Linked DNA regions of Tamandua tetradactyla. The protein of the gene in region 1 interacts with the protein of each later gene in a biochemical or structural test. Links are inferred from orthologs where the notes say so. Each region holds a gene or a part of one and is shown in the gene's direction. Other genes may lie near its edges.

Region 1 (7,476 bases):
ATGAAGCCCATAATAGCTCCTGGCCCAGTGGGCTGCTGGGGGCACGATTGCTGGTGCCTCCTAAACGCTCTGGTAAGCCTGAGCTGTACTTGGCCATAGTTATACAGTGACAGTTGCAAAGAAAGGTGAGGAAAAGTCAGTCCCGCAAGCAAGGGAAGAAGGCTCTGCACAATAGCGCAGCACAGTGGGGGCGCTGGGGGCACTCCTCCCAAAGTGGGGGTGGGTGGGAAGTCCCTCTTCGGGGACCCCGGAAGAAGGGCGGCTGTAGGGGGTGACACAGCTCAAGAGTGTCGTGGAGACGGACTGTTACTAACCAGGAAATGGTGGAAATCTCAGCGGGGAGGAGTTCGCTAAGGGGGAGTGCATGCCAGGACGTCTATTCTTTGCAGAGGCCCGGAGATATTACATCCTGCACGTTAAGGGATTGGAGAGAAGTTAGGATTGAAGAAGGTAGGGGGATAGAAGCCAGGAGAGACGGGGTTCACGAATTCAGTCCTTTTTACCTATCTTAAACGAGTAATTTTTCTTGCACGTCCAGGAAGGCTTCTTGGAGGAGGTGACGTCTAGGATTCTGCCAAAGGGAGGCGGTGTTCCCGCCTGAAGGCAGGGCTTGGGCAAAGGCCAAGAACCTTGATGGGGGGTTGAGGCGGTTAAAAATTGGAACACTTAAATAAAGGCCTAGGGGTTAAATGCTTTGGCGTCTGAGCCCTACTCTTAACTTGTTAGGGGACCCCAGACAACTCTACCCTCTCTCTGAGCTTCCCACTGCTTCAGTGTTTCCCTTAGGCAAACGGGCAGCGGCTCCCTCAGTCCTCCTGATTTCTCCTGGGGTGGGAAAATCCTCCGAAGACAAGACGAGTGACAGTTCCTTTAAGCCGATCACCGGAGCTCACAATTCTACCCTCCTCCGTCGGGGGCCAATCGCCTTGCTCTCCTTGAGGTCTCTCCAGCCCACAAGAGGCGGCTTAAAGCCTCGTGACGTCACCTTTCGTCCAAACCAATGGCAGCGATCAAGTTGCGGGCAGTCTTGGTGACGGACAGATCTCTTTTAAGATGTCCGCTTAGCGCAGGGCCTGCCGGGAAGCTTTGAGACGGCACTTAATGGGAGGGGGAGGAACTGGGCGGGAACTCCTGGTTGACTCTGCCCAATCACCGCTCGCTCTTCTTGGGATGGACGGACAGTCTTCCCCATCCCGGACGACTTGAGGGGGCGGGGCCTTGCACGCCAACTTGGGAGGGCCCTTCAGCCTTGATAGGCGTCTATTCCACCCAATTGCCAAACGGCATTCCCGGATCGGCCGCCTCCACTGCCAATGAGATCTCCTGACCGAGTTGCTGTGGGCGGGCCGTGGCCCCTCCGGTATAAGGCGATCCCGGGGGAGCGCGGAGAAAGGGGGGGGTCTCGGCGGCCGGAGGAGGAGTAGGTGCGGGCGAAGATGGCGGCAGCCGAGGCCGCGAACTGCATCATGGAGGTGAGCGTCTGGCGCGCCGCCGGGGCCGAGGGAAGCCTGGGGGTCGGTGCCTTATGCCTCGGTCGTGGGGAAGGGACTCCGAGTCGGCGGGTTGGAGCTGGAGGCGCTCAGCGGGACGGGAGGGGGGCGCATGCCCGGGATCCGAGGGCACCGCCTGATGGGGGGGGGGGGCTCCAGAGCTTTCCGGGACCTGCGGCACCGCCGAGTCGAGGGTTTCACCCCCCCATCCCACGTGGATGAGGGCTGGGGGCGCTTCCGGCCGGGCCCCCACGTGGCCGTGGATGGGGAGGGGGTGTGCCGTGCCCGGTGGCCCCGCGGGTTCCACGTGCGGGACAAAGGCCCCGCCCCCGGCCGGGGGAGGGGCGCTCCGGGGGGGTGGAGAGGAGGCTCCGACCCTGCCTTGGGGCCCCCAGCACCCCCTCGCCGGATCCCGGGACCCAAACAGAACCTACCTTAGGGCCTTCCGCGATGTAGGGGATCTCTTGGGTGGGGCCGTGCTACCCGACCCTTCACTTTCCCCCCTCCCCCAGGTCCGGGGGCATCTGCTGGGGCGTCGTTTCAGGTTTTGAGTCCTCTTGCTTGCGGTTGGAGGAAAACGAAGAGTTGGTCCCCCACCGCATTCGCTTCCTGTGCCTGGACTCTACCCCGCCTGGGGCTTTATGAACTGGGGGGGGATGGGGCATGCCCCTGTGACCTCCCCGTGGGTGGGGGTGCGTCTCGATGGAGGAGATCATTCCCGATAAGGCCCCTTGCACCCCCTTGTGGCCATTTCTGGTTGTGGGCGGGATCTCTTTTTCATGGGGCGTGTCTCCAAGTCCACCTCCCCCTTAGTGCTTGCCCGGGCTAGGTGGGGGTCGGGGGGAGTGTGTCTGTTGAGAAGGGGGTCTTTTGAGGATATAGGCTCCGAGCGTTTGCCCTCCACTGGTGCCCTTTCGCTCCTTGGGGCATCTGTGAGGTGGGAGACGACCTGCCTCTTCTCCTAAGCCCCCGTGTGTATGTCTCCAGCCTGGATTCAGGAAGTGATTTCCATGGATACTTGATTCTTGTGTGAACGTGTGGTGCCATGGCCGTGTTTCCAGCCTGCTGGGGCTGTCTGGTGGTGGTGGGATCAGTGGTTTCGGGAAATGGGCCCCAACAGGAAATCCCCACTCCAGCTGCCCTTCTCACAGGTTTCAGAGAGGGCTTAAGATTCGGGGCCCAAGGTATTATGGCCTGTGGCTGTGTCTTTCCTGGAGCCTGCAGGGTGGTCACATGTGGAAGAGATGTTGTCTGATGGTGCTCCCATACCCCCACCTCTCACTGCATATAGCCATCCCTGGAGTGTGGGATCAGGGCCCGAGATGCATGTCCATGGCAAGCAGCGCCCCGGGGGCCACTCATTTCTTTTCCCCATACAACCCAGACCCAGGAGGTAGCCAAGGAGGAGGGGAGGCATATCTCCCCCAGAGCTTGCTTTACCTGGGGGGTGGGGGGTTCAGAACTGAGATGGGTGTCTGAACCGGAGAGAAGGGCTCAGACGCCCCGGGCCCTAGCCTGGAGTCCCCTGAATCTGGCCCTGTCCCCTGGGACACTACCTGCTTGGGGAGAGGCTAAAAAGGGGGGAGGGTTCCTTCCAACTGGTTTTGTTTGGCTCTGTCACAAGTGCCCATGTGCCACACCTCCTTTCTGGAATCCTCTCAGATGAGAGATTGTTTTGCAGAGGGGGCTGTTGCCCAGTGGGCACACCCTGCCAGCATCCCCCCCCCCCCCGCAGCTATTCCTGGTACCTTGGGGTGGGGGTGTGTGTCAGAAGGTGTCACCTAATCTGGGGGATTAGATGCGGGGAGTGACAGCTGGCAGTGCCTGTGTGCCCGGCGGTGCCAGGTCCTTTGGCATGGATGGGGGAGGTGTGTAGGCAGATGTCTGACTAGTGAGGGGCAGTGAAGGGATGGGCTGCCATCTCTCCAGCCACAGCTGGGACAGGAGAACCCCTTTGCTTTCCCCCTACCTCCCCCTCCCATTTCTTAAACAGCCCTCCCTCTTAACTTGTTACTTCTGCCACCTCTCCCCACCAAGGAAAAGGAAAATAGCAAGAACCCCCACTCCACCCGGAGCCCTGGTGCCCAGTCCCCACCCCTGGCCTGGCCCTCCCCCTACCACTCCCATTAGCTAATCCTTTCTCCCTGTTACTCTCTCCTAGAATTTTGTAGCCACCTTGGCTAATGGGATGAGCCTCCAGCCGCCTCTTGAAGAAGTAAATATCCTTTTGTGAGACCCCCTTCCCACCTCCATATAAATACATCCTGCCACACATTAGACCTTTTCCCGTGCTTCTAACCATGATCCCTTTGGCTTCAAACCAGGTTACCCTGTGCCCTCCAAACCCTTAGTACACTTCCCTCCAGGTTGGTGGCCCCCGGCTGGCCTCCTCCCATATTGTGGCTACTTCCTTAACTCCACTTCCAGCCCCCCTTGGCCCTCCCCTGTGTCTGCCCCACTTCTGCCTTCCCCTCCCCTCCCCAGCTGTGGGCTGAGCTAGAGACGGGGGCAGAGAGACGGAGAGATGGTAGGCGTGGCTGAGGTATCCTGGATGGTGCTGGGGGGGGTCTTGGAAGAGAAAAATGGGGGTGCTAGGGTTTGGGGTTCCTGGGGGAGGCAGGATGGCAGGCGGGGGCTCTAGGGTCGCCCTGGTAAGACTGGTGTGAGGGGAGGGGAGCTCTCTACCCTAGGGAGAAATAGGAACCTGGAAGTCGAAGAGGCCGTGGGAGCCCCCAGATTTGACCCATGCTCCCATCCACCTCCTCCCAGGTCTCCTGCGGCCAAGCAGAAAGCAGTGAGAAACCCAACGCTGAGGACATGACATCCAAAGATTACTACTTCGACTCCTACGCGCACTTCGGCATCCACGAGGTGAGCGTGGACAGCTTCTAAGGAGGGTGAATCCCACGCGGGTCAATGCCCGGGAGGGGCGAGGCTTCCTTTCCCACGCATGCGTGCAGTCTTCCCTGTCCCCGTGCCGCTGGTCTGCGCATGCGAGGCCTCGCGGGAACTGGGGGCCTCTCCTGGCGGTTGCCTTGGACACCGAAGTTAGCCCGGAGTGGGGCCGCGTTAGGGAAACTAGGGTGGAAGCGTGGAAGCGCGCATGCGTGCCCAAGACTTCAGCCCAGTTCTGGGCCTGCTGGTCTCTGCCGCCCTCTCGTGACTACTGGTGGGACTGCAACTCCAGCTGCTCATTCCCGTTTGCAGATTGAGGATGTGGAGGTCCCAGAGCACAGCTGGGCTAGTTTGGTGGGGGGACTCTTTTTTTTTTTTTTTACATTAACTGAAGTCATTTTAAAGCCAAAGATGGCTGAGGCTTAGGTGGTCAAATTCAGCTAAAATGAGAGTTTGATCCATTACACCTGGTTTTACGAACAGTGACTGAAATGGACAGAAAGGTCTTATTCCACGGGGACTAACACGTGGGAGGGCTACGGTTGGGCTCTCCAAACCGTCAGCGTGTTGGAGGCCAGGCCACCCCGTTTTGCACACGGGTCCCCTCATGGCGTCTTTGTGCCCCGCCTCCCCCAGGAAATGCTGAAGGACGAGGTGCGCACCCTCACCTACCGTAACTCCATGTTCCACAACCGGCACCTGTTCAAGGACAAGGTGGTGCTGGACGTGGGCTCAGGCACGGGGATCCTCTGCATGTTCGCTGCCAAGGCCGGGGCCCGCAAGGTTATCGGGGTGAGTCGGAGGGCGGGCAGGGGGTTGGGGGGGGCCTGTTGGGGCAGGGGACGAGGGGGGGCCTGGGGGACGGGAGGGCCTGGGGGGGCCGAGGGGGGGTGGGAGGTGGGGGATGGGGGGGCCTCACCCTCCCTTCTTCCTGGACCCCAGATCGAGTGTTCCAGCATCTCTGACTATGCCGTGAAGATTGTCAAAGCCAACAAGTTAGACCACGGTGAGCCCAGGAGGAAAGCGGACTGGTGGGGACGCAGTGGGTGACTCTCAGATTCCCTAGGGCCTCAGCCAGGGGGTGGGGGCCACTGATGGGGCACATGGGCAGCCGTCCCTTCCCTGGGGCCTTCTGGGCTGGCATCGGGCTGAGAACCCGTGACCGCTGGCAGCGGGAGTGTGGTGCCGGCTTTGAGTGGCGAGCTCATTAGCGCTTCAGTCTTAGTGTTAGGGCAAGGAGCAGTCTCTCATCTCCTGACTAAGTCTGAGAGTCGTGCTGAGTGAGGCGTCTCCCGTCTGTCCCTCAGCTACCCTTCTCTGAGTTTATCTATTACCTTCCAGCAAAATCTGAACCCACAAGGAAATATATATGTAAATGTTTGTGGGCAAATGAACATAGTTTTCACACAGATCTCATCTCATTCAGCTTTTACTCTTTATCACTTCGTTTATTGTAGTAAAATATATGTCATGAAAAATGACAATTTAATTTTCTTTTTAAGTGTACCATTCAGCGGCATTGGGCGTAGTCACAGCATTGGGCAGCCATCACCACTATATATTTCCAGAACTTTCCCATCACCCCAAACAACCCTCTGCCCATTAAGCAGTCACTCCCCTTTCACTTCTCCCCTGGACCCTGGTAACCTCTGATTTGCTTTCTGTCTCTATGAATTCGATGGCTTTAGAGATTTCATATATATGGAATCAAGGTGTTGGTCCTTTTGTGTCTGGACTGCCTCCGCAGCCCATCTCACATGTATCTGTACTTCATTCCTTTTTATAGCTGAATAATATTCAGTTGTATGGATGGAAAGCTCCCCATTTGTCCATCTGTTGATGGAACTTGGGTTGCCTCCACCTTTTGGCTACTATGGATAATGCTGCAATGAACAGTGGTGTGCAAATATGTGCCCGAATCCCGGCAGTCACTTCTTTAGGGGTATATACATAGGAGCGGCATTGTTGTGTCATAGGAGATTTCTTGGTCTAATGTTTTTTGGAATTGCCAAACTGTTTCCTGTCTTTTTTTTTTTTGCACCTGTTCATGTCTAGTTTTAACAAGCTTGCGGATGCTGAGAAGTGTCCTTTTGTTTTGTGACTGCCGTTCTGCACACACCTCACCTTTTTTAACCCTGTTCATGGGCGTGTGAGCCACTTCTGAAATTTCTGTCCCCTGAACATCTTGTCATTCCACATTTATTTTAAAATGTGAATTAGTAAGTTGGTAGATGTTGCCAAATTGCTTTTGGTGGCCATTCCACTTGCATTCCCAGTGGCAAGGCTGAGCATGCAGGAAACATTGGAAAGCAGTAGGTTTGCTGAGTGTGAGGGCTTGCAGCATTCTAAGAACCGGAGTGGTTTTCTTTTTTTCTAAAGAGACGAGTGTAGGACCCCATCTCTCAGCTTCATGCTGAAATAAATCCCAGCTGTGACCTCGGCTCACCTGTAAATCCTGTGTATGTCTCTAGTAGATCGGGCCTTTTGAGAAGCATAACCACACCGTGACTCGTTTGTTACATGTTTCCCATAACATATCCCATAATAATATAACCTTACTGTCTGCTGGCCGGTCTGTGGGAAATTTCTGCAACTGCTTCAACAACGTGTAGGACTCAGAGGGACCAGAGTGATGGGTGAATCTCAAGGCACAGTTAGCAAGCTCTGGCTTCAGAGCAAAGGGTTCTTGGACAGTGCCCCAGTCCCGCCCCCATGGTACCTAGGGAGGGGCCTCGGGGGGCTGATGGCCGCCCCCTCCTGCAGTGGTGACCATCATCAAAGGCAAAGTGGAGGAGGTGGAGCTGCCGGTGGAGAAGGTGGACATCGTCATCAGCGAGTGGATGGGCTACTGCCTCTTCTACGAGTCCATGCTCAACACTGTGCTCTATGCCCGCGACAAGTGGCTGGTGAGGGCCCTGCGGCTATGGCGGGCAGCGGACAGTGGACAGAACTGAATGACATTGGCAGGAGGGCGTTAATGCTGGAGGAAAGCAGCAGGCCTGAGGGACGCGGAGGGACTGGGAGGTGGCAGTTTTGGGGCCCAGGGCCGAGCAGGCCTCCCCAGGAGGTGAAGGGCTTGGGGGATGGATGG
Region 2 (7,202 bases), on another chromosome or scaffold:
TGCCAGCTCATGGGGCTCCAGGGGTTCTGGGTCAGCCTCCAGGCTGAGCCCCAACTTTGCCTGCTAGGGTCAGCCGCCCTCTGTGGCTGAGCCCCACCTCCACAGCCTCTGTCACCTCCGTCACCTTGAGAGCACATGAGCCCCACCAGTCCCAAGATGCAGCAGCAGGCGCAGACCCAGAGGAGCTGCTGTCAGAGTGGGCTGGGGGCCTGTGCAGCTCAAGGGTGAGCCAGGAGGCCAGGTTGTCCATGGCAGCTGAGGAGGGGGGAGGAACTGATGGAGGTCGAGGGGGGCCAGGGGGGCCCAGATGGCAGGCCAAGGAGTCCCAACTAGTGGTCACTTGCTGGTTCTGCCAGGCAGACTCAGGTTCCTGTCCACAGTCACCAGCAGGTGGAAGGGAGTGGGAGCCCCTGGACTCGACCCCACTCCTGGTACCAAGTTGTATTAGTTAGGGTTCTCTAGAGAAACAGAATCAACAGGGAACACTCAGAAACATAAAATTTATACAAGTGTCTCATGTGACCATCAGAATGCAGAGTCCAAAATCCGCAGGGCAGGATGTGAAGCCAATGATTCTGATGGAGGTCTAGACTAACTCCAAAGCAGTAAGAGAGCCTGTCTCTTCTGAATCCTCCTTAAAAGTCTTCCAGTGATTAGATTAAGCGTCACTCATTGCAGAAGACACTCTCCTTGGCTGATTACAAATGGAATCAGCTGTGGATGCAGCTGATGTGATCATAATTTAATTCACTGAAATGTCCTCATTGTAACAGACAGGCCAGCACTTGCCCAACCAGACAAACCGGTACCACCACTTGGCCAAGTTGACACATGAACCTGACCATGACACCGTCTAATCAAAAGTTACTACCCACAATTGGGTGGGTCACATCTCCATGGAAACAGTAAAAAGATCCCACTCCACAATACCGAATGAGGGTTAAAGAACTTGACTTTTCAGGGGTACAAGACAGTTTTAAAACAGCACAGGAGGCATAGTAGGTCATTAAAGGACAAACTCCTATCTATCTGTGTCATGGTTAGGGACAGGTGTCAACTTGGCCAAGTTGTGGTACCTGTTCATCTGATTGGGCAAGCGCTGGCCTGTCTGTTGCAATGAGGACATTTCATAGGATTAGGTCATGATCACGTCAGCTACATCCACAGCTGATTCCATTTGTAATCAACCAAAGGGGAGTGTCTTCTGCAATTAGTGATGTAAATACAATCATGGGAAGCCTTTTAAGGAGGACTCAGAGGAGACAGATTCCATTCCTGCTTTGGCTGGTGAGCCTCTCCTGTGGAGTTCATCCAGGCCATCCATCGGAGTCATCGGCTTCGCAGCCTGCCCTGTGGATTTTGGACTCTGCATTCCTACGGTCACGTGAGACACTTTCATAAATTTTATATTTGCAAGTGTTCCCTGTTGATTCTGTTTCTCTAGAGAACCCTAACTAATACAATCTGTATAGCCCCAGTTTTTGCAATTCTACACACAAAGTGCACTCTAATTAACCTGACTTTTCTGATCTCATACCTGTGACTCTTTCCATATATGTAGTTTTCCTTGGGATGGCTTAATCATTCATCAAAGTTCTCATCAAAAATTCTCTCCTTACTGTATGTAGCCTTTCCCAACTCATTTTCCTTAATCTTGTGACTGGAGGGCCATGAACTGTTAACACTGAGAGTTTGTCAAAGGGCATGTGACTAAAGGACTTCCCAGTGGAAGGTGAGTGGCGGTGGTATCTGAGCCACTGTTTTCCACAGCAGCTGTACCATTTTACATCCTCACTGCAAAGTACAAAGCTTCCTGTTTTTCCACATTTTTGCTGACACTTCTATTTTCTGTTTTTAAAATAACAGCCATATTAATAGAATATGGAATTTAATTTTAACACATAAAAATTATCTGTCAAGAGCATATGTATACCAGTAAGAGTAAGATGTGTCTTTATGCTAGAGGTACAGGACTTACAAACAGTGAAAGGAAATTGCTCAGAAAAATTCTGAATTTTAGGAGGAAAAGTCTCATGCGCGCCAGTATAGAAAATTTTCTTTGCCATTTAAACTGAATACATGAGAACCAGGAAAAAAAAAAAAAAAGCCAAACAGTTAAGTCCTGTTGTTCCTGGGAAGAGCCTGCCAATGCTAGGACATTTCTCTGAATTGCTAACTGTATACTTTATGAACATATTTTTAATCTTGTATGTTTTTTTAAAAAAAGCATATGTCAGCCAAAAACTAAAGGACAAATACTGTATGGTCCCACTGATGTGAACGGACATTCGAGAATAAACTTGAAATATGTCATTGGTAACAGAGTTCAGCAGGAGTTAGAAACAGGGTAAGACAATGGGTAATTGAAGCTGAAGGGATACAGACTGTGCAACAGGACTAGATACAAAAACTCAAAAATGGACAGCACAATAATACCTAATTGTAAAGTAATCATGTTAAAACACTGAATGAAGCTGCATCTGAGCTATAGGGTTTTTTTTTGTTTTTGTTTGCTTGTTTGTTTGTTTGTTGTTGTTTTTTACTATTATTACTACTTTTATTTCTTTTCTTTATATTAACATTTTATATCTTTTTCTGTTGTGTTGCTAGTTCCTCTAAACCGATGCAAATGTACTAAGAAACAATGATCATGCATCTATGTGATGATGTTAAGAATTACTGAGTGCATATGTAGAACGGTATGATTTCTAAATGTTGTGTTAATTTCTTTTTTTTTTCTTTCCGTTAATAAAAAAATAAAAATAAAAAATTAAAAAAAAGCATATGTATACAAATATGAAATTCATTCATTCATACAATTATTCCCTGAATGAAAGGTACCTTTCCAGGCACTGAGAATGAGGACAGAAAGAAGGGAGGGAAAGGATATAGAATGAATTAGCTAAGATTTCTGGCCTTAGGGAGGAGAAGTAAGGAGAAATAATTATAATTCAGGGCAAAAACAGTCAAATGCTATGAGATGTACCAATAATGTTGTTCAGGCTAATCATCACCTACATGGAATAATTTGTTAACCTGTGTAGCATCAACCCTTCCCTTTCGGAACTAGAAACCTTCTTTTCCTTGGGGAAATCACCTTACCTGCACCCTCACTACCTGTGGTTCAGGAGAGCTGACTTCACTCAGACTCTAAGCTTGGGTGTGACCCAGGACTGGCTGATCAGAGAATTAATTATATGCCCCTCAGTATAGCAACTGGGTCAAAGTTGTGCACGTGACTCAAGACAGGCCAGTGATGCAATTCGGGACTTCATATTTCGTATTAGCCTATTCCTGCACCAATTACTGGCAAGGGGGTGGTACTATAACGCATGATTTACGATTAATCATGCTTGAGGCTGGAAAGGAGCTCAACTTAATGATGCCCAAACAAAATACAAGTGCTGGAAATATGGAAGAGGGACAGGAATGGCTATAAAACAGGCAGCCAAGAGTGTCTGCCATAGGTGTCCAGGCATGATTTCCTGAAGGGAGTCCAGGCCAGGGCTTTCCTCTGAACTCCAGCAACTGACTATATCAAACCTCAAAATGTTCAAGATTGAACTAAATGATTCTCACTAAACTGGCCTCTTTCAAGGCTCTATTCCTTTAGGAGTAGCACCACCATTTTTTCTTTCTTCTCTCTCTCTCTCTCTCTTTTTCACTCACTTCCTAAGGTATGCCTTTCCAGACTTCATAATCAGGTCAGGTTCTTTTGCCCGTGGAGAACACTGTGATTTTCCTTCAGAGCAACTTTTTCTCAGTCTGCAGAAGACACGGAGCTAGTATCTCCTACAACATCAAGCCTGGCACACAGTAAGTGCTCAATAAATAGTTGCTGAGTGGCTAAATGAATATAAACCTCAGAGTGGTCGATAACGAATGTAGAACCAGTGTCCCAGAGAACACCTGCAAGGGGCTATTCGCACCTCCCCGCCCCTGGACTGCCCACCTCCCTTTCTCCTCCCAGTAGCTCCGCCCCTTAGCCAGGGCCCCAACCCTCCGCGGAATCGGAGGGGGAGGGGCAGAGAGTGCGCATGACGTGACAGCGGCCGGCCGGCGATTGGGCTTCCAGGCTCGCCGGCGAGGCAAGGGGGCGTGTCCGAGTGATCTGATTGGCTGTCGGGCGGTGGTTGGGCAGGTTGCAGGGGCTGCGGCGCGGGGGCGGGCGTCCGGCGGGCAGGGAAGCGGGCGGGTTAGGGAGGGTGGCTGTGGCGGCGGGCGGGATGGGTCCTCGCCGCCGGCTTCGCTGAGACTAGTTCGCGTGGGCTGCCCGCGGCGGGCCCGCAGTGGCCGCGGAGGCATGAAGGGCGCTCTGGGGAGCCCCGTGGCCGCGGCCGCCGCCGGCGCCACGATGCAGGAGAGTTTCGGCTGCGTCGTGGCCAACCGCTTCCACCAGCTGCTGGACGACGAGTCGGACCCGTTCGACATCCTGCGCGAGGCCGAGCGCCGGCGCCAGCAGCAGCTGCAGCGCAAGCGGCGCGACGAGGCGGCGGCGGCCGGGGCTGGCAACCGCGGCGGCAGGAGCCCCGCCGGGGCCTCGGGCCACAGACCCGGCGCGGGCGGCGTCCGGAGGGAGTCCCAGAAGGAGCGCAAGAGCCTCCCGGCCCCCGGCGCGCAGCAGACGGACAGCCCCGGGGGCGGCCCGCAGCCGCCCGGTACGCGGTCCCTGGGTGCCCCCGGTAGGCGTGGGGGGCGGGAAGGGAAGGAGCTGGGGTCACGGAGGTCATCCTGCCCCAGCCGCCCCTGGACCCCCACTGTGAGATTGGGTCACTGGAACCACGACCCAGAAAAGGGAGGGAGCCCTGGGAAGAGCTGGGTCGAATTTGAGAGTCCCTGTGGTTGTGGATAGGAAAAGAAGACCCAAGTGGGTGGTGGTGTCCCGCCCCTTCAGGCCTTTCCCACCCCGTTTTATTGATAGGGAAGGGGTGGAGGCTTGCAGGTGGGGGAGGGGGTGTCTCGAAGCCCCGAAACTGAGGCTTTAGGACGAGTTGCACAAAGTTGACAAATATTGCTGGGGTAATGTGTGTGGGGCGAAAACTGGGGGCTCCTGTCCCGGAGCTGTCAACTCGAGAGCTAGCAGAGACCATCTTCCTTCTCCAGCACGACCTCCGCAAGGTTCAGTTCTGGAGGCAAAAAGAGAAGCTTGAGGGGGAGGAAGGGGCGCCCCTCTAGGAGAAGGTGGGGGAAAGGGGGGCAAGAGGAGTCGCAGGGAGGCCGAGGCGAGGGGCCTCCAGGCCTCTGTGATGGAGGGAAGGCCGAGGTGCCCGCGGGGGGCCGCCCTGTGACGTCAGGGCCGCGGTGCTGGACGCGGGATCCCCGGCTTCTTCCACGCTCAGCCCTCGCACAACCCCACTCGGTAGCTTCCAGAAGTCAGCAAGCATCAGTTTTAAGTACATCACGTATGTTGATGGGATGTGTAACTCGTCATTAACTCTGGGCTACTCTCAGGATACCGTCTTTAATGTGAACAATAATGCTGGAGCCTCCCTACGCCCTGTTTAGCAAGAAGGGCTGGGGAAGAGCTTGGAGAGCTACTGTCTGCATACAGGGAGTGTACTTCAGAATTCATCTCCCTCACCGAAGTGACAGCAGTGCCTTAAGAAAACCACCTGCGTTTCCTTTGTTTTTCTGAAATAAGGCAATGGTCCTGAGGTTTGCAGCAAAAATAGTTAACGTTAGGATGTATAGTGTGTTCAACTCGGTTTACTGATTTGTTCCTTTCTTGATAGAAATTGTGCGTTAGATTATTGAGAGAATGCCTGTAGGTGTAAGTATAGAGCATTAACTTTAGGAACTAGGTGATGATTTAACTTTATCTGGAAAGTTGAGTCCTGAAGTGTCACTTGAGAATCAGAAAATCGGGTCATTACAATAAAGATGTTGAAAATTCCCAAAATTGCTCTTGGGTATCTCAGGACTTCTTGTTAGGCCGGTAAGTTCATGAGCCTATTTAAACAGTGAGTGAGACTTGAGATATATTTTACGTTTTGTGTTATGTTCTATATTTCTCTCTTAAATGTAAGTGAGGATAGATAGCAATCAGAGTTATAAACTAAAGATTTGAGGAAGGCTAATTTTTTCCTCTCCCCGTTTCTAACATGTGAAAATACTCATTCTTTCCTTTAAAATAGTATGAAACTGCATTTAACGGTATCTGTTAATATATTTCATTTTACTTTTTAAAAAAATATTAGTCATATATTTTGTTATAAAAATTTTGAGCAATTCAGAAATGTATGAAGTAAAGTGAAAATCGTTTATTTTCCCTACTATTAACAGCTTGCATCTATATATGTGAGTTCACAGAACTTTTTTTTTCACTTAGTTTAAATTGGGCAGGAACCTGCTTCTTTACTTGACATTATAACCTAGCACACGTAGAACTTTTTTTTCGACATGAAAGTGAAACATTAATCCCAAGAGGATGTAGAAATGAAAGTTTTCCCATGAAGACTTAGGTTTTAATATCCTTGACCACCTGTCTAACAATATACGTAGACCCTTGAGTGAGCCTTGGAAAATAAGTTCATACTTCAGGTCAACAGAGGCAGCTTCAGCTTTGCTTTTCCTTTCAGAACTCTGATCTTTGAGCCAAAGCTCACTTTTATTTTGTAAAAACCTCACTCAGTTTTATTGTATTTTGTCCCTTCACTTGGGCTTGGGTTTAGATTAGTGCCAGCTTTTTATTAGAAAGGGTCAGTGAAATGAAGAGCTTGCATTATCCACTTGGAGCTGCTGATCTAGCAAAAAACAAACAGACTAGGTTCAGTGCCATTTGTGATCTCTTAACACTAAGTTATGAAAAAATTAATTGAACCCTAGTATTTTTCTTTTGGGGGGGTGCTGGAGGGAGAATGAAATGTTTACAGGGTATTGATGATAAAATTATTTTAATAGCCAATTTTTACTTAAAAGTCCACAGTTTGTTCCATAGTTTGGAAGAAACTTTAATATAAAATGTACAATAAATGTTGCATTTTAAGTGTTGAATACTGATGTCCCAATTGATATAGTAAGAAGAAAATGACTTGGAGGAAGCAGAAAGAATGTGGGATAAGCTTCTGTAATTCTGTAGTTGAATAGAAATGTTAAAAACTACAAGTTGTAGACAGGAAATGTATTAGAATAACTACTTTTATATTTTCACAACAGGTAAATGTCAAAAATTGTCATTGTTAACATATTTTGCTGATGACTCC
Region 3 (6,867 bases), on another chromosome or scaffold:
CCAAAATGTACACCCCAACCAAACATCCACACTCCACAAAACATTCCCCAGTATATACTGCTATATTAATATCTGCAAACATATATCCTTATTTTCTCCTATCTACAAATTTCCAAGCATACATACACATTTCAGCACTTAGATGCACTCACATACACTGCCCTCCCTACCTGCTCTCTCTCACACACACACACACACACACACACACACACACACACACTCCTTTAAAAAAAACACATCTCATCACCTTGTTAGTCAGGATGTAATGGAGAGGCTGGAGGGAACTGCCTGAAAATGTAGAGCTGTGTTCCAGTAGCCATATTTCTTGAAGATGATTGTATAATGATATAACTTTTACAATGTGACTGTGTGATTGTGAAAACCTTGTGTCTGATGCTCCTTTTATCTACCTTATCAACAGATGAGTAAAACATATTGGGGAACAAATGCTAAAATAAATTTAGTAGCTTGAAATGCTAGTGAAAGGGAGGGGTAAGGGGTATGGTATGTATGAATTTCTTTCTCTTTTCTTTTTATTTCTTTTTCTGAATTGATACAAATGTTCTAAGAAATGATCATGATGATGAATATGCAAATATGTGATGATATTGAGAATTACTGATTATATATGTAGAACGGAATGATCATATGTTAAGAATGTTTGTGTTTGTTTTATTTTTTAAAAAAATTAAAAAATTAATAAAATACACATCTCACAGTGTAGGAGTGAGCTGATGTCATCCTCCTGGAATAACTCAGCCCAGCCTCTGCCTGCAGATCATCTTCACTCAGCTTCAGGTTTCTACGTGTGGTCAGAAACTCAGAGGTAACCTTGGCAACCAAGGCTTTGCAGGCACCCATCAGGGAGCTGGGAAAGAAAACAGTCAGGTAAAATGATCTGGATGCAAACGATCTGGATGCTCTTGACTGGGAAGTGGAGGGCAAGGCCTGTATGATGAGCCCACAGACGGCCAGAGCAGAGGTTTGGGCGAGGGACCCAGATCTAGGGAGGATCTGGTCTGAGAAGGGCAGCTGTATGGGCAGCCCACCTGTGTGGCCCATGCAAGTGGATGAGATGGGCAACCAGGACCAGAGGAGCCAGTGAGTCTGGGGTCATGTGCCTTAAAAGAAACTTCTGGTCCAAGTAAGGCATAAACTGAGTTCCACCCTCACCCCCACTGGTACCACATCCATTTTTTAGTGGGTGCAGACACAGTGTCAGAGCATCTAATGTTCAAAATTCAATTCAAGGGCCTTGGCCAGAGAGAGAAGGAGGAGAGGAGGAGAAGTAATAGAAGAAGGAGAAGATGGTGGAGGAGGAGGAAAGAGGGGAAGCATAGGAGTAGTTTGAGGAATTTTCAAAACTTATTTGAACTATGATATATTCAGTGTAATAAGAAACTGACTTGAGAACCCAAATCCTGAGCTGGGTACAACTCATTATTTGGGAACTTTAAATATGGGTAAATTTAGCTTCCTCTCCTTAGGCTTATATGTAGAAAGAAAAGAGGATGAGAAAGTGGGGAAGCAGCCCTCTGGTTTTTATGGATTACCTATGCCCCATAATAGGTTCTACCTAATCACCAATGATAAGGCTAGGCAGACCCTGGAGTGCCATAAGGGCTTCCTGCTCCTGTCCCAGCAAATGCAGGATGTTTCCCTCCCCCCACCCCCCACCTCCATTCATTGCAACATCATCTGGAATAACAGCTCTGTGGGACCACGGGCCATGGGAATAACAGCACCGGGGCTCCACGGTCTGATGGTAAGGACATTGTAGTCCAAGTCCGCAGACTCGGTCCCATTTCTGACTGTTGAGAACTAGCTGCGTGGTTTCATGAACAATATCAAAATGCACATAAGGACAGAGTCATATTCTCTAAGGCAAAGCCCAGGTGATGATCTGTCAGAATATTTTTTTTCATCAATTTTGCTTGCAGGCATTGTAGGGCCCAGAACACCAGACCCCTGTCTAAGTAAGCCCAGGTAGACAGTCAGTGTTTTCAGATTTAGGTACTAAGTGACACGGTACACCTGCCTATACCTTGACCAGTTTCCCTGACTTCTTTAGTGGTTGACCTTGGTCAACTCTGGTCTTGCTGACACCTTGTCTCTTTGGTCTGATGCACCTCTAGCCTATCTTGTTTCTAGTCTCAACCCTGGTTCCTGTAACATATCTTTTTCCCCTCATTAAGCACAGGAGTCTCATCTGGTTTGATCCAGCTTCAAGGAAAAGTTGACAAAGAAGCCAACTAGAAAATGTGTTTAATTCCAAAATATTACAATTCCAGGGCATTTTGATGAGTTATAAGAAGAGGTGGGACACATGAGCTGTACTTTAGGAAGGGATATCTATTAATAGTAGAAAGAGTGGTTTGGGAATAGGATTGGACAGAGACCATGGCAAACATCTAGTAATGAAGAAGCAACAGTTCATGGGACTGGATCTGAGGAGCAAAGCACAAGGAGAAGCCAGAAGTCAGTCTGAGTTTTCTGGCTGGAGGTCTTGGGAAATGATGGTGTCTCTGATAGAAATGGAGACCAGGAAGGGAGCTCACTTTGGAGAAGACACGGAGTTTGGCTGACATTGAGATGGTGGCAGGACTTCCAAGGGGAGGAACAAAGCAGGTGTGGGAGGAACAGGTTGAAAGGATAGAGGGCACAGTATCCAGATTTGAAAGTCAACTGTAAATCATAAAAATAAAAATGGACAACCTGAATTAGATCTATTTGAGGAAAGAAAACTGAGAGAAAAGGACTAAGGGTTTAGCGATGGGCACAGGGTTGAGTAGGCATCCCAGGAAGGCAAAGCCAGGGGAAGAGGCAGAGAACCCAGGATATAGTGTCAAAGAAACAGGGTGAGACGGCTATCAGAAGAAAGTGGTCAACAGGGCCAGACATGCCTGCCCAGAGAACAAGGAAACTCCAAATTCACAGAGGCCATAGGATTTGATTTATTTAACAAACATGTACGGGGCATTTATGTATGCTAGACCCTCGATTCACTATGAGGAAGGAAGATCAGCTGCAGGGAGAAGGGCAAGGATGGGAGGTAAAGATGTGTGCAGCTGAGTGCAGACCACTTATTTAAAAATGTTGCCATTTAACGGAAGGAGGGAACTAGAAAAATAGCTTGAAGGGACAAAGAAAATCTTGTAACACTCCCTGCACTTCCACCCGCCAGACAGGTGAGCCTGAGATGCTTCTACGCAATAGAAAAAAAAAAAATTGGTTGAGAGAAAAAGCAGAACTTGTTGGAGGAAGTGGGGCTGTTGTGGAAATAAACAGAAAGTTCAATCCTCATTTTCGAAGAGCCGAGAGGAACCCCCTCGGATAGCTAAGAAAGGGCAAAGTGGTGAAATGGTGACAAAGCGTCCAGAAGAGTGGTGCTGACGGTGCGTGGTTGGAAAACGCTATGGGAATCATAAAAGGGAACCGCTTGGGACAGGTGGTACCAGCGAAGGCTTCTCGGAGGAAGCGGCGTCTAACCTGAGCCTTGAAGGATAGTCGGATTTTGGAACGGTGGACAGGAGAGGTCAGGACATCCCCAGCGTGGAGCAAATTGGGAGCCCTTTACCTCCGAGGTGAACTTTCAGCTCCGGCCCCTTCTTTCTGCACCAGCCTCCCTCTGCTCCCAAGCTCAGCTCGGGTTCCCAGCACTGACGTCAGCCGACGATGACCTCACCGCCGAGGAGGCCGCGGGGGTGGCAGCAGGGGTGGCGGCGGGGGCGGGGGCTAGCGGCTGTGCGCGGGGCGGGGCGAGGCGTCCGACCTAGCCCCCATCCGCTTGCGGCGGCCAATGAGCACCGCCGCAGGCTCCCCCACCTCCGCGAACAGTATGAAAGGCGCGGCTCGCGGGAAGCCCAGGCAGAGTCCGAGCTGCGGCTAGGCGAACACAGGGTACTGCGCCCGTACGTCCGAATTCTTCCGCCTAGCGGCGCGTCCCATCCAGAGACCTCTCACTGCCCCACGCCGTGTCCTTCCCGAGCCGCGCACGATATGAGCCAGGCTCGCTGGACCGGGAAGAGAACCGATATGCTGCCGGAGATCGCCGCCGCCGTGGGCTTCCTCTCCAGCCTCCTGCGGACCCGAGGCTGCGTGAGCGAGCAGAGACTTAAGGTGTTCAGCGGGGCTCTCCAGGAGGCACTAACAGGTGAGCGCACGCCGAGGATCCCGCTGCCTCCAGGGCTCGGCCCCCGTCCCTGCCCGGGGCGCCTTTCCTCTCTCAGGGCCAAGTTGCCCGCGCGGGCAGCTCCGGGACTCGGTTTCCGTCTTGCGGCCCCCGGGGCAGCCAGCAGCCCACCGCCCCCAGGGGCACAGCTCTCCTCCCCCGCCCTGCGCTCTGGTCTCAGTTGGTGGTGGTTCTGGTTGAGCGCCTTCTCCGCCGTCCTGGGGTGCGAGACCGAGTCCCCAGCTTATGTCCTCCGAAGAGCGGGTTCCAGCGGGTCACGGTGCGGATTCGTCGCTTTCCTGGGACCTTTGAGACCTTGAGACACTTGAGGGACGCTGAGGGTAACAAAGCGCGGCCGCCCGAGGCGTTCCGTTTGGGAGAAGAAGTCGCAGTTGAGCCATTTCAACAACTTAGAGATCCTTCCCTGGCTCTTCCCGCGGGTACGGCACTGCGCTGTGCCGGGCCAGTCTCGCTGCTGTTGACTCGCTTGAAGTAGGAATCTGGGCCCCTTGAGTTCCTTCTGGTTCCCCTTAGCCATCTGCCTCCTATTATGGTACCCGAGTGAGCCTCATAGTTAGTAACTCTTCGTAACCACGCTCCACGGGCATGTGTTGGAGTGGGTGAGTTGAGGGAGGTTGAAAAGAGATAAGCAGCCCTCTGGGTGGGAGAGGACTCTCTCCCAGCCGATTCTAGCCGTTTGGCTGTGTTGGCTGGCTGTCCCCAACCGCAGTAACCATCTCTGAACACGCTCACACATATCCTCTCTTCTGAGGAACAACAGAATGTTTTGTGAAACAACTCATTTTTTCATTCCCTTAGTGACTGCTAAGGTTCTCTGATTCTGGGGCACGCAATGGGAAACCCGTGACGTGGCTGTGGACCCTGACATTGTTGAAAGCCTCTGTGTCCTAGATCCAGCCCCACATGCCAGACCCTGTCACACCCCTCTCTCCTTAAACCGAGGATGTGCCAAAAACAACATACTGGCCACTACAGAGAGACCCAGAGCTCTTGCACTGTCCCCCTTCCCCCGCCCCATCCTCCAGTATACACAGGCATGCACACACACACACACACACACACACACACACACACACACACACACACACACACACACACACACACACAACTGTCCCAAAAGAGAGAGCTCTACAGCTCTTAAAAAGTTTTCTCTGTTAGAGTGGCAGGAGGATTTCAGGAGGGTCCTGGAGCTCTGGAGAAACTACTTTGTTTATTTAACCTCACTGGGTCCCTTTCTCTCCTCCTGGCCCCCTGTCTTGACCCCCACCTTATAGTAGCGCCCATGGCCCATGCCCATTTGCTCTAACCAGAGAATCTCCCTCTTGTCCCCTCTCTGCAGAGCACTACAGACACCACTGGTTTCCTGAAAAGCCATCCAAGGGCTCTGGCTATCGCTGCATCCGCATCAACCACAAGATGGACCCCATCATCAGCAAGGTGGCCAGCCGGATCGGACTCAGCCAGCCCCAGCTGCACCAGCTGCTCCCCAGTGAGCTGACCCTGTGGGTGGACCCCTATGAGGTGTCCTACCGCATTGGGGAGGATGGTTCCATCTGTGTCCTGTATGAGGAGGCCCCAGTGGCCACCTCTTACGGGCTCCTCACCTGCAAGAACCAAATGATGCTGGGCAGGAGCAGCCCCTCGAAGAACTACGTGATGGCAATCTCTAGTTAGATCCCTCCTGCCCCCAGCCTGGCACTCTCCTGTGCTCATTCTGCCGTGACAACAGGCCGCTGCATACCTCAACCTGGGGAACTGTATTTTTAAATGAAGATCTATTTATATATATATTATTTTTTTTTAAGAAAAGAGAAAAAACCAAAAGTTTTTTTTAAGAAAAAAATCCTTAAAGGGAGCTTCTTCGAAGGGGCTTCCCCAGGTGCCTTTGGAGAGAACTGTTGTGCACTTGAGTCTGGGAGCCAGTGTCTGCCTGTGGGAGGGGGAGTGGTTGGAGCAGGCCTGGCCAAGGTGAGGTGAGAAGCTTGGCCAGCACCCCAGAAAGATGTGAGAGGGAGCAACAAGGTTAGCAACTGTGAATGAGAGTGGTCAGGATGTGCCCTGGTGCAGGAAGGGAGACTCAGTTCAAACCTCTCACTCTCCCAACTTGGACACCTGCATCCCTGACCCCACTCTTAACTCAGGGGCATTCAAGCTTGGACTTAAATAATACTATGTTGCCTATTATCTCCTCTTTTTCTGATGAGATCCTGAGCAGAGAGTGAAAAGGCCTCTCCTTATTTCTTCTGTTCTAAGCAGCTTTTCTTGAAACCATGACTTGTTTCTTAGTCTACCTTCAGGGGCTTGTAAATATTGCTCCCCAGACTTCAGTCTAAAACCTTTTGTATTGGTTTGGGGTGTAAGGCTGGGCTTAGAGGTCTTTTGGGGGTGAGATGGAAGGGAACTCTGCACAAAACCTTTGCTTTGCTATGTGCTGCTCTGTGTGTATGTGTGGCCAATAATTTGGGGGTGATTTTGCAATGCCATTTTGGGACCCAAAGAGTATCCACTGGAGATGTTTTTTGGCCAAAACCCTTTCTGGAACCATACATAAGTTCTGATGCTGCTGCTATTATCCCATTGATAGGTGAATCAAAAGCTACAGGGAACTCTAGGTCCTTTATCACTGCCTTCTTTTCAAAAGCACAACACTCCTTCCCCTCTCTAGCCCCTCCTTC
Region 4 (7,374 bases), about 13 Mb from region 1:
ACATCCTGAAATAGGCAGTTGTGGTAGTTGGATTCAGGTGTCAGCTTGGCTAGGTGAAGGTGCCTAGTTCTATTGCTGTGGCCATGAGCCACATGTGAACCTCATCTGTTCCCGATTACATCTGCAATCAGCTAGGAGGCGTGCCTGCTGCAATGAATGATATTTGATTTAATCGGCTGGTGCTTAAATCAGAGAGCTCAACATAGCACAGCCCAAGCAGCTCAGCCCAGGCCTTTGGAGATGCAGAAAGCAAACACCCCGGGGAAAGTTGTTGGAACCCAGAGGCCTGGAGAGAAGGAGAGAAGAAGCAGAGATAGCCCTGTGCCTTCTCACATAAGAAAGAACCTCAGTTGAAATTTAGCTGCCTTTCCTCTGAAGAATTATACATTAACTACATAAATTCCCTTTTATTGAAAGCCAATTCGTCTCTGGTGTGTTGCATTCAGCAGCTAACAAACTACAACAGCAGTACATGGCATTACCCATGAAATATTCTTGCTTCTCCACTCCCCACGCCCACCCACCCTCCAAAAATAAATTGAACTTGACTAGAATCAAACCTTTGGTTTTGAGTTCTGGTCTGCAGGAAATACCAGGGGAAAAGGAACAGGTTAAATGAAAACATGAAGAAGCAATTGGCCACATCCAGACTGCAGAACATATGATAGGACAAATGATTCAGTTTATTCAACAGCTCAATGGCATTAAAAAAAAAATGAATTGGGGACAGTTTTGGAATAAAAGTGACTGAATGGCCAGGAGGGAGACTTTGGGGGTGCCAATTATGGGTGATGTTCTATTTGTTGACCTGTGGTGGGCAGGTGGGTTTCTTTTTGTGGTAACTCATAGAGCTGCATGCATTTTCCAGGCAGTTACATGCACTTTTCTCTGTGAATGCCATACAGAGAAAAAAAAATTTTTAATATATAAATTATAATTTCTGAAGATTCTTGACCAAAAAAATGTGCGTGAATTTGCATGTGTACGTGTGAGAGAGAAAAAACAACCAAATACAAGGAGGGGAACTTGTCTGGATCTTGATTTGAACAAATCAAAAATTTATTAAAATCACATTTTTTTAGACAATTGAGGAAATCTGAATATGAACTGTTTATTAGATTACATGAAGGCATTATTGTTAATTTAGTTAGGGGTGACAATGTAAGAAAGTGTCCTCTTTTTTAAAGAGATGCATACTTAAGTATATGGGGGTGGGTGACAACATATTGATGGTTGTTGAGGCTGGGTGATGAATACATGGGGTACTTTTTAAAAATATATTTTTATTGAGAAATATCCACACACGTACAGTCCAACCATATTATACAATCAGTGACTCACAGTGTCATCACATAGTTGTGTACTCTTCACTATGATCATTTTTAGACTATTTGCATCACTCCAGAGAAAGAAAAAAAAGAGCACATGCATCTCATACCCCTTACCCCTCCCTCTCATTGACCCACAGTGTGGTAGTTAGATTCAGTTGTCAACTTGGCCAGGTGAAGGCACCTAGTTCTGTCGCTGTGGACATGAGCTAATGGTACGTGAACGTCATCTGTTGCTGATTACATCTGCAGTCGGCTAGGAGGCATGCCTGCTGCAATGAATGATGTTTGACTAAATTGGCTGGTGCTTAAATGAGAGAGCACAACATAGCACAGCCTAAGCAGCTCAGCATTCCTCATCTCAGCCCTCACAGCTCAGCCCAGGCCTTTGGAGATGCAGAAAGAAGTCATCCTGGGGAAAGTTGTTGGAACCCAGAGACCTGGAGAGAAGGCCAGCAGAGACCATCCCGTGCCTTCCCACATAAGAAAGAACCTCAGTGGAAAGTTAGCTGCCTTTCCTCTGAAGAACTAACAAAATAAATTTATTAAAAGCCAATCCATTTCTGGTGTGTTGCATTCCGGCAGCTAGCAAACTAGAACACACAGTATTTCAGTCTACCCAATTTTTACCCTTTATCTCCCTGATTATTTATTTATTATCTTTATTTTTTTTTCACTCATCTGTCCATATCCTGGATAGGAGCATCAGACAAAAGTTTTCACAATCACAATCACATTGTAAAAGCAATATAACTATACAATCCTCTGGTATACAGTTCAACAGTTTCAGATACTTCTCTCTAGCCTCTCCAATATACCATAAACTAAAAAGAGATATCAATGTAATGTATAGGAATAACCTCCAGGATAACCTCTCGCCTCTATTTGAAATCTCTCAGTCACTGACACTTTATTTTCTCTCATTGCTCTCTTCCCCCTTTTGGTCAAGAAGTCTTTCTCAATCCAGTGATGCCAGGTCCTGGCTCAACCCAGGGAGATTTGCACCTCTGGAAGTTTCATGGGGGACTTCTAATTTTTGTTATAAATTTTTCTTTAAATCCATCAAGTCTCCAGGGTCCCAATTCAATAGCCTCTGAAGAGTTCTGCACACTGGTTCTAGTTTGGGTTTTCAAATTTGAAATGTGTCCCCAACACCAGCCCTTATGACCCTACCATGGCCTTTCTTTGCTTACTTCAATAAATATGTTTGAGCACCTACTATGTGCCAAGGTCTTGTTCTGGGCACTAGAGACATGGTGGGGAAGAAGACAGAAATGTCCTTTAGGAGCTGATATTGTACTCCAAATCATTAAGATGGTGATAAGGGCTGTGATGTGCTGGAGGGATCTTAGGCTAGGTGACCAGGAAAGCCTCTTTGAGGAGGTGACCATGGAGCTGAGTCCTGAATGGGAAAAAGAAACAAAAATCTGGGGAAAGAAGATTCTATGCAGACCAAACAGCAACTGCAAAGGCCCTGAGGTGGACCTGAATTGAAGCAAGGAGGCAGGTGTGGCCGGGGTGCAGGAAAGTAGTGGGAAAGGAGATGAATGCAATCCTGAATTAGAAGCATTTGAATTATTGTACCACTCCTAGAAATCCAGAATAGACTTAGCAATATTATCCTGTAGTTCTGAAAAGCTTAAAAAATTAAAAAATTTTCAGGAACATTTCCGTGCAAATTGGTGGCATTGCACAGCTGAAACACCCTCCTCCTGAGAACTCAAAACAACCTAAGTTCACTCATTCATTCAAAAGCATTTACTGAGCACCTACTCTGTGCCAGGACTGTTTCAGGCCCTGAGCGGCACAGCAGTGAATGAAACACTCATTACCCAGGAGCCTACAGGTTAGCGGGCTCTCCTGGAGGTTGTCAGTAACTTCTCAGAGTAGCATTTCCATTTTACTTGGTGGAATGGATACAAGGGATAAACATAAACAGCAGAAAATGACCGAACACCATTCTCAATACTTATGCAGAATCCTTGGCCCCCACTCCAAAGCCGTTCATCCTTGCTTCTACCTGGACCATTGCAGCCGGCCTGTCTCTACTCTTTCACTTCCATCCTACTTCCAGTCTGTTTCCCACTGCAACCGGAGCCCGCCCCCGTGTAAGATCATAACCTTCCTTTGCCTAGAGCCTTCTTGTGGCTCAGTCTCACTCAAGGTAAAAGCCAAAGTCTTCCCCGTGGCACACGAGGCCCCACACAATCTGCCCGTCACCTCCCTGCCCGCATCGCCTCCCACTCACCCTCTTGCTCACCCTGCTCAACACACTGGCCTCTTCATCGTTCCTCCAACATCCCATACCTTTCCTGCCTTCGCACCTGCAGTAGTCCCTGTTGGCATTCTTACCTCACATAGGTACAAGTCTCACTCCTCACCTTCTTCAGTTCTTTGCTAGTCACTAGATATATTCCTTAACCACCCTATTAAAAAAATGTCACCAACAGTCCCTATCCACTACTTATTTTCCGTTATTTTCTCCAAAGCACTCATTGCCTTCTAACATTCAACACGTCTTACTAACTTGTTTGGCATCGTCTCCCCTATTAGAAGATGGGCTTCGGGAGTGTGGAGCTTCTATGTTTTGTTCACTGCTGTACTCCCAGCGCCTAGCACAATACCTGGTATATACAAGAATCACAATAAATGTTTTTTGACTGTATGAGCGGGAGCCCAGAGTCGGTCCTATGCGTCTCAGCGAGAGGAAACAGGCCAAGGGAAGGCTTTGGGGATGGAGGGGGATTTTAGTAATTACCTAGGAGTAGAGCAGAGGGACAGAGAGAACAGTCCATGCCAAGGTTTGGGTATGAGCCCCGATTAGCGGGGACTAAGGCGACGAGGGAAGCACGTTTAGGATAGAGATCACAGAACGGTAAAAGACAAGAGGGCATGAAGCCCGAAAGGAGGCGGTGTCGTTAGAGTGCCGGGGAGCCCGCCCACTACGCGCGCGCGCGCGCGCGCGTCTCGGGGCTGGGCTGGGACTTCGAAGGGGCGGGGCTGGGGCTTCTAGGGGCGGGGCTGCGTGAATGCGTCATGCGCCGTGCGTCGCCGTGCGCCTGCGTTCCTTTTCCACGTGCGAAAGCCCCAAACGCGGGGAGTGGGAGCAGCTGCACACCCCAGACTCGAGCAGCTTAGGGCTCGCCATGAAGCCAGGTTCAGACCGGGATTGTGGTTGGGGTCCGGGACCGGGGCCAGGCCGGGTACCCGGGTGCCAGGCCGGAATCTGAGGGGCGGGGCTTTGGCCTGGGGGCAGGAATTCTGAGCCCTGGACTAGTCTGTTGAGGGTCGGGGGTCGTGGTTCGGGTCTTGCGTGAAGCGAGGGTATTGATTTCTCCCTAGGGTCGATTGTGAGGCGGAAGTCGAGTTTCTGGTCGGGAAATTTGGGACTGGCTTCGGAGGTCAAAGTTGTGAGTCGAGGGTCTTGGACCAGACATTGGGAATTCCTGCATGGAATTTGTTTTTGGTTTGAGATCTTTATGGGTCTTGGGTATTATTGGGCCAGAGGCGGTAGTCGAGGTCCTTAGCTAAAGTTTGGACCCAGGTACCTGGGGTTTTAAATGTCTGGACGTTGGTTTGCGGAATCTGTTTTGGATTGGGCATGAAGAGACCTTGATCTTCGGTCCTTTAGCTGGTCTGGGAGGTCCTCCATTTACCTCCTCTGTCTCCGCCGCCCTATCTTCTTGGTCCCCAAACCCAGTTTCTCAGAGAAGGCCGAGAGTGGGTGAGGATTCCCTGCTTGATAGTGTGCGGTTCTCTCTGGTCCAACTTTCCTGCTCTCTCCTGTTCTTGGGAGCCGGTCCCGGCAATGGAATGGAGATTATAGGTATCGCGATTCCCATTTTAGCGGTGAGATGGAGCTCGATAAGTCCAGGATTGGTGGGCCGGCGTAGGGTAGTGACAGCGCAGGAGTGGTTTCATTCATTTGCTTTTCCCAGAGATTCTGATGGACACACCCCTGCTTCTCGTGGTAGAAGAGAGTCCTGGCTTTGACAGCTGAAGGGATTCGCTCAAAGTTTCAATCCCGGCTCTGCTACTTAACCTACTGTGTGACCTCGGGCAAGTAGCTTTACTTCTCTGAGCCTCAATAAAATGGCACCCAGTCAAGATTAAGTGAGATTAGCATAGAGTTTGACATATTATTACTTGGTGTTGGCACCAATTGTTAGCATTTTCAAGGGAAACAAAATCAGGGTCTTTTTTTGGTTTCTCAGCTCTTCTTGTGCCCAAGTTGCCCCTCATCCCTTCACTGTTGAACCAGAAGGGGCTTTTCCTATTACAGTTTTTTCTGTTTTCTTCCCTTTTTGGGGGGCGAGAGGGGGTGTTGGAGAGAAGATGAAGTCATCTGGGAGGATTTGGATCCATGCCCTCCTTCCAAGCTCCCTTTCTCTTCTATGTTTGCAGATCTCCTGAACTGGGGTGGGGAGTGGTAGGTTGTGTATATTTAGGCCCTGGCATGCCTGCAGGCATCCTATAGTCTATGCTTCCCCCAGGAATGGAGGATGTGAAGTTGGAGAAGTTGTTAAGAGCCAGCACTTCAGTAAAGATTTTAGTCTGAGAGAGAGGGGAAAGTCTTTGGGAAATGTTGAGCATGATGCAGTGTGACTCTTTTTTATCCGACATTTTTGAAAGGGATCTTTCTTCTGTGTAGAAAAGAGACTTGGAGCAAAAGCAGAGGCAGGCACATTGGGGTGGGGGAAGAGCCAACAGATAGTTATGGCTTGTGAGAGAGGCATCAAGGATACTGACGGTTGAATTGTGTAACTGGAAGGATGAAGTTGCCATTTGTTAAGATTGGAAGATTGTGGTAAGAGAGCCAATTTTAAATCGGGGACCTATGTAGGAGATCCCCCTCCCCTAAAAAAACACGAAAACCTTCCAGAAATGAGTAAATATAAGTTTTTCTGAGGAGTGAATGCTTTTAGTACAGCTTCCTAAGAGCCCTAGGACCTGAAATGGACTAAGATGTGTTTGGAGTGTCTGGGACTAAAAGATAATACTGGTGTCACTGCATCCAGAACGTCCACAGTTCCCAGGTCTCTGCTTTCCTTCTTTCAGGCCTGGTTGAGAGTCTCATAGGCCTCTGAGTAATGGAGAGAGGGAACTCGTTCACCTGAATATGAATAATATTCAAATTGTGTGCCAGACTGTACTTCCTATCTATCAAGTCATGTAATCTTTACAGCTTGATGAGGTGGGCTCCATATTATCTCCATGTGTCTGATTTACAGATGAAGGTTTTAAGACTCCTGCAAACCTTCCCTGGCATGACCTCTGTCTCCCTGTATGGGACACCTGAGCTGCTTGAGGGGAGGGGCCAGGGCTCTCCTTACTACCCAGTCACCTGAGCAGGATCCTAGATCATCAGCAGTCATCAGTTCATTTAAGATTTATAGAGTCCAAACTTGGTGCCAGCAATTGTGCGAAGGTACTAGGGGTGCAGGAGTGTCCAAAACAATTCAAAGCCTCTCTCATTTTGGGAAGAGACAGGTAGTAGCAAGTAAATATATTTAAAATGCTGTGTGCATGCACTGATAGGGTAAAAAATGAAGCCGGGTAAATAAGGGTAGGGTGGTCAGGGAAGGCCCTACATTCAGGGACCTGAATGGAGTGAAGCAACCGAGCAGATGCCTGCAGGAGCCAGGCAGCAGCAGCCGCCGCTGATGGTACAAGCCTAGGAATTGGAGTGGACTTGACAGTCTGGACATAGAGGGAGGTCAGAGAAGTTGTTAGAGGCCAGATCCTTAGGGCAGTGTTCTCAATTTGGGCTCCACCCCAGACAAATTAAATCAGAATCGTAGCTGTGGGACCTGGGTGATTCCAAGGGATTAGCGATGGTTGGGAACCATTGGCTTTATAAATTGAAGAAAGGACTTTTGATTTCATTTTTTATGTGATGGGAAACGGCCTGGGGGATTTGGGCAGGGAAATGAGATCTGCTTTGCTGTTTTGAAAAGACCACTTGAGCTGCTGTATGGAAAGTAGACTGTAGAGGGAGTAGAAGATAAAAAGTAACTCGTTCCCTTAGTTATGTTTAGGAGTTCTG

Evidence for each region.
Region 2: the proteins of PRMT1 (region 1) and HABP4 form a complex in vitro, tested with the Homo sapiens proteins (2 studies listed by BioGRID, with this or other methods). The link is inferred for Tamandua tetradactyla from reciprocal best matches to the Homo sapiens genes PRMT1 and HABP4.
Region 3: the proteins of PRMT1 (region 1) and BTG2 form a complex in vitro, tested with the Homo sapiens proteins (2 studies listed by BioGRID). The link is inferred for Tamandua tetradactyla from reciprocal best matches to the Homo sapiens genes PRMT1 and BTG2.
Region 4: of the proteins of PRMT1 (region 1) and FBL, one has a biochemical effect on the other in vitro, tested with the Homo sapiens proteins (2 studies listed by BioGRID). The link is inferred for Tamandua tetradactyla from reciprocal best matches to the Homo sapiens genes PRMT1 and FBL.

The regions. Positions count from the first base shown.
Region 1 is NC_135342.1:11,469,580-11,477,055, reverse strand, and holds the start of PRMT1 (protein arginine N-methyltransferase 1), read left to right. Parts: upstream 1-4,466; 5' UTR 4,467-4,481; coding exon 4,482-4,712; intron 4,713-5,021; coding exon 5,022-5,177; intron 5,178-5,327; coding exon 5,328-5,391; intron 5,392-7,148; coding exon 7,149-7,291; intron 7,292-7,476. UniProt on the Homo sapiens protein: Arginine methyltransferase that methylates (mono and asymmetric dimethylation) the guanidino nitrogens of arginyl residues present in proteins such as ESR1, histone H2, H3 and H4, FMR1, ILF3, HNRNPA1, HNRNPD, NFATC2IP, SUPT5H, TAF15, EWS, HABP4, SERBP1, RBM15, FOXO1, CHTOP, MAP3K5/ASK1, MICU1 and NPRL2.
Region 2 is NC_135328.1:123,551,317-123,558,518, forward strand, and holds the start of HABP4 (intracellular hyaluronan-binding protein 4), read left to right. Parts: upstream 1-4,186; 5' UTR 4,187-4,303; coding exon 4,304-4,658; intron 4,659-7,202. UniProt on the Homo sapiens protein: Ribosome-binding protein that promotes ribosome hibernation, a process during which ribosomes are stabilized in an inactive state and preserved from proteasomal degradation.
Region 3 is NC_135330.1:60,644,337-60,651,203, forward strand, and holds the start of BTG2 (protein BTG2), read left to right. Parts: upstream 1-3,848; 5' UTR 3,849-3,999; coding exon 4,000-4,153; intron 4,154-5,531; coding exon 5,532-5,866; 3' UTR 5,867-6,867. UniProt on the Homo sapiens protein: Anti-proliferative protein; the function is mediated by association with deadenylase subunits of the CCR4-NOT complex. Activates mRNA deadenylation in a CNOT6 and CNOT7-dependent manner. In vitro can inhibit deadenylase activity of CNOT7 and CNOT8.
Region 4 is NC_135342.1:24,172,096-24,179,469, forward strand, and holds the start of FBL (rRNA 2'-O-methyltransferase fibrillarin), read left to right. Parts: upstream 1-4,357; coding exon 4,358-4,484; intron 4,485-7,374.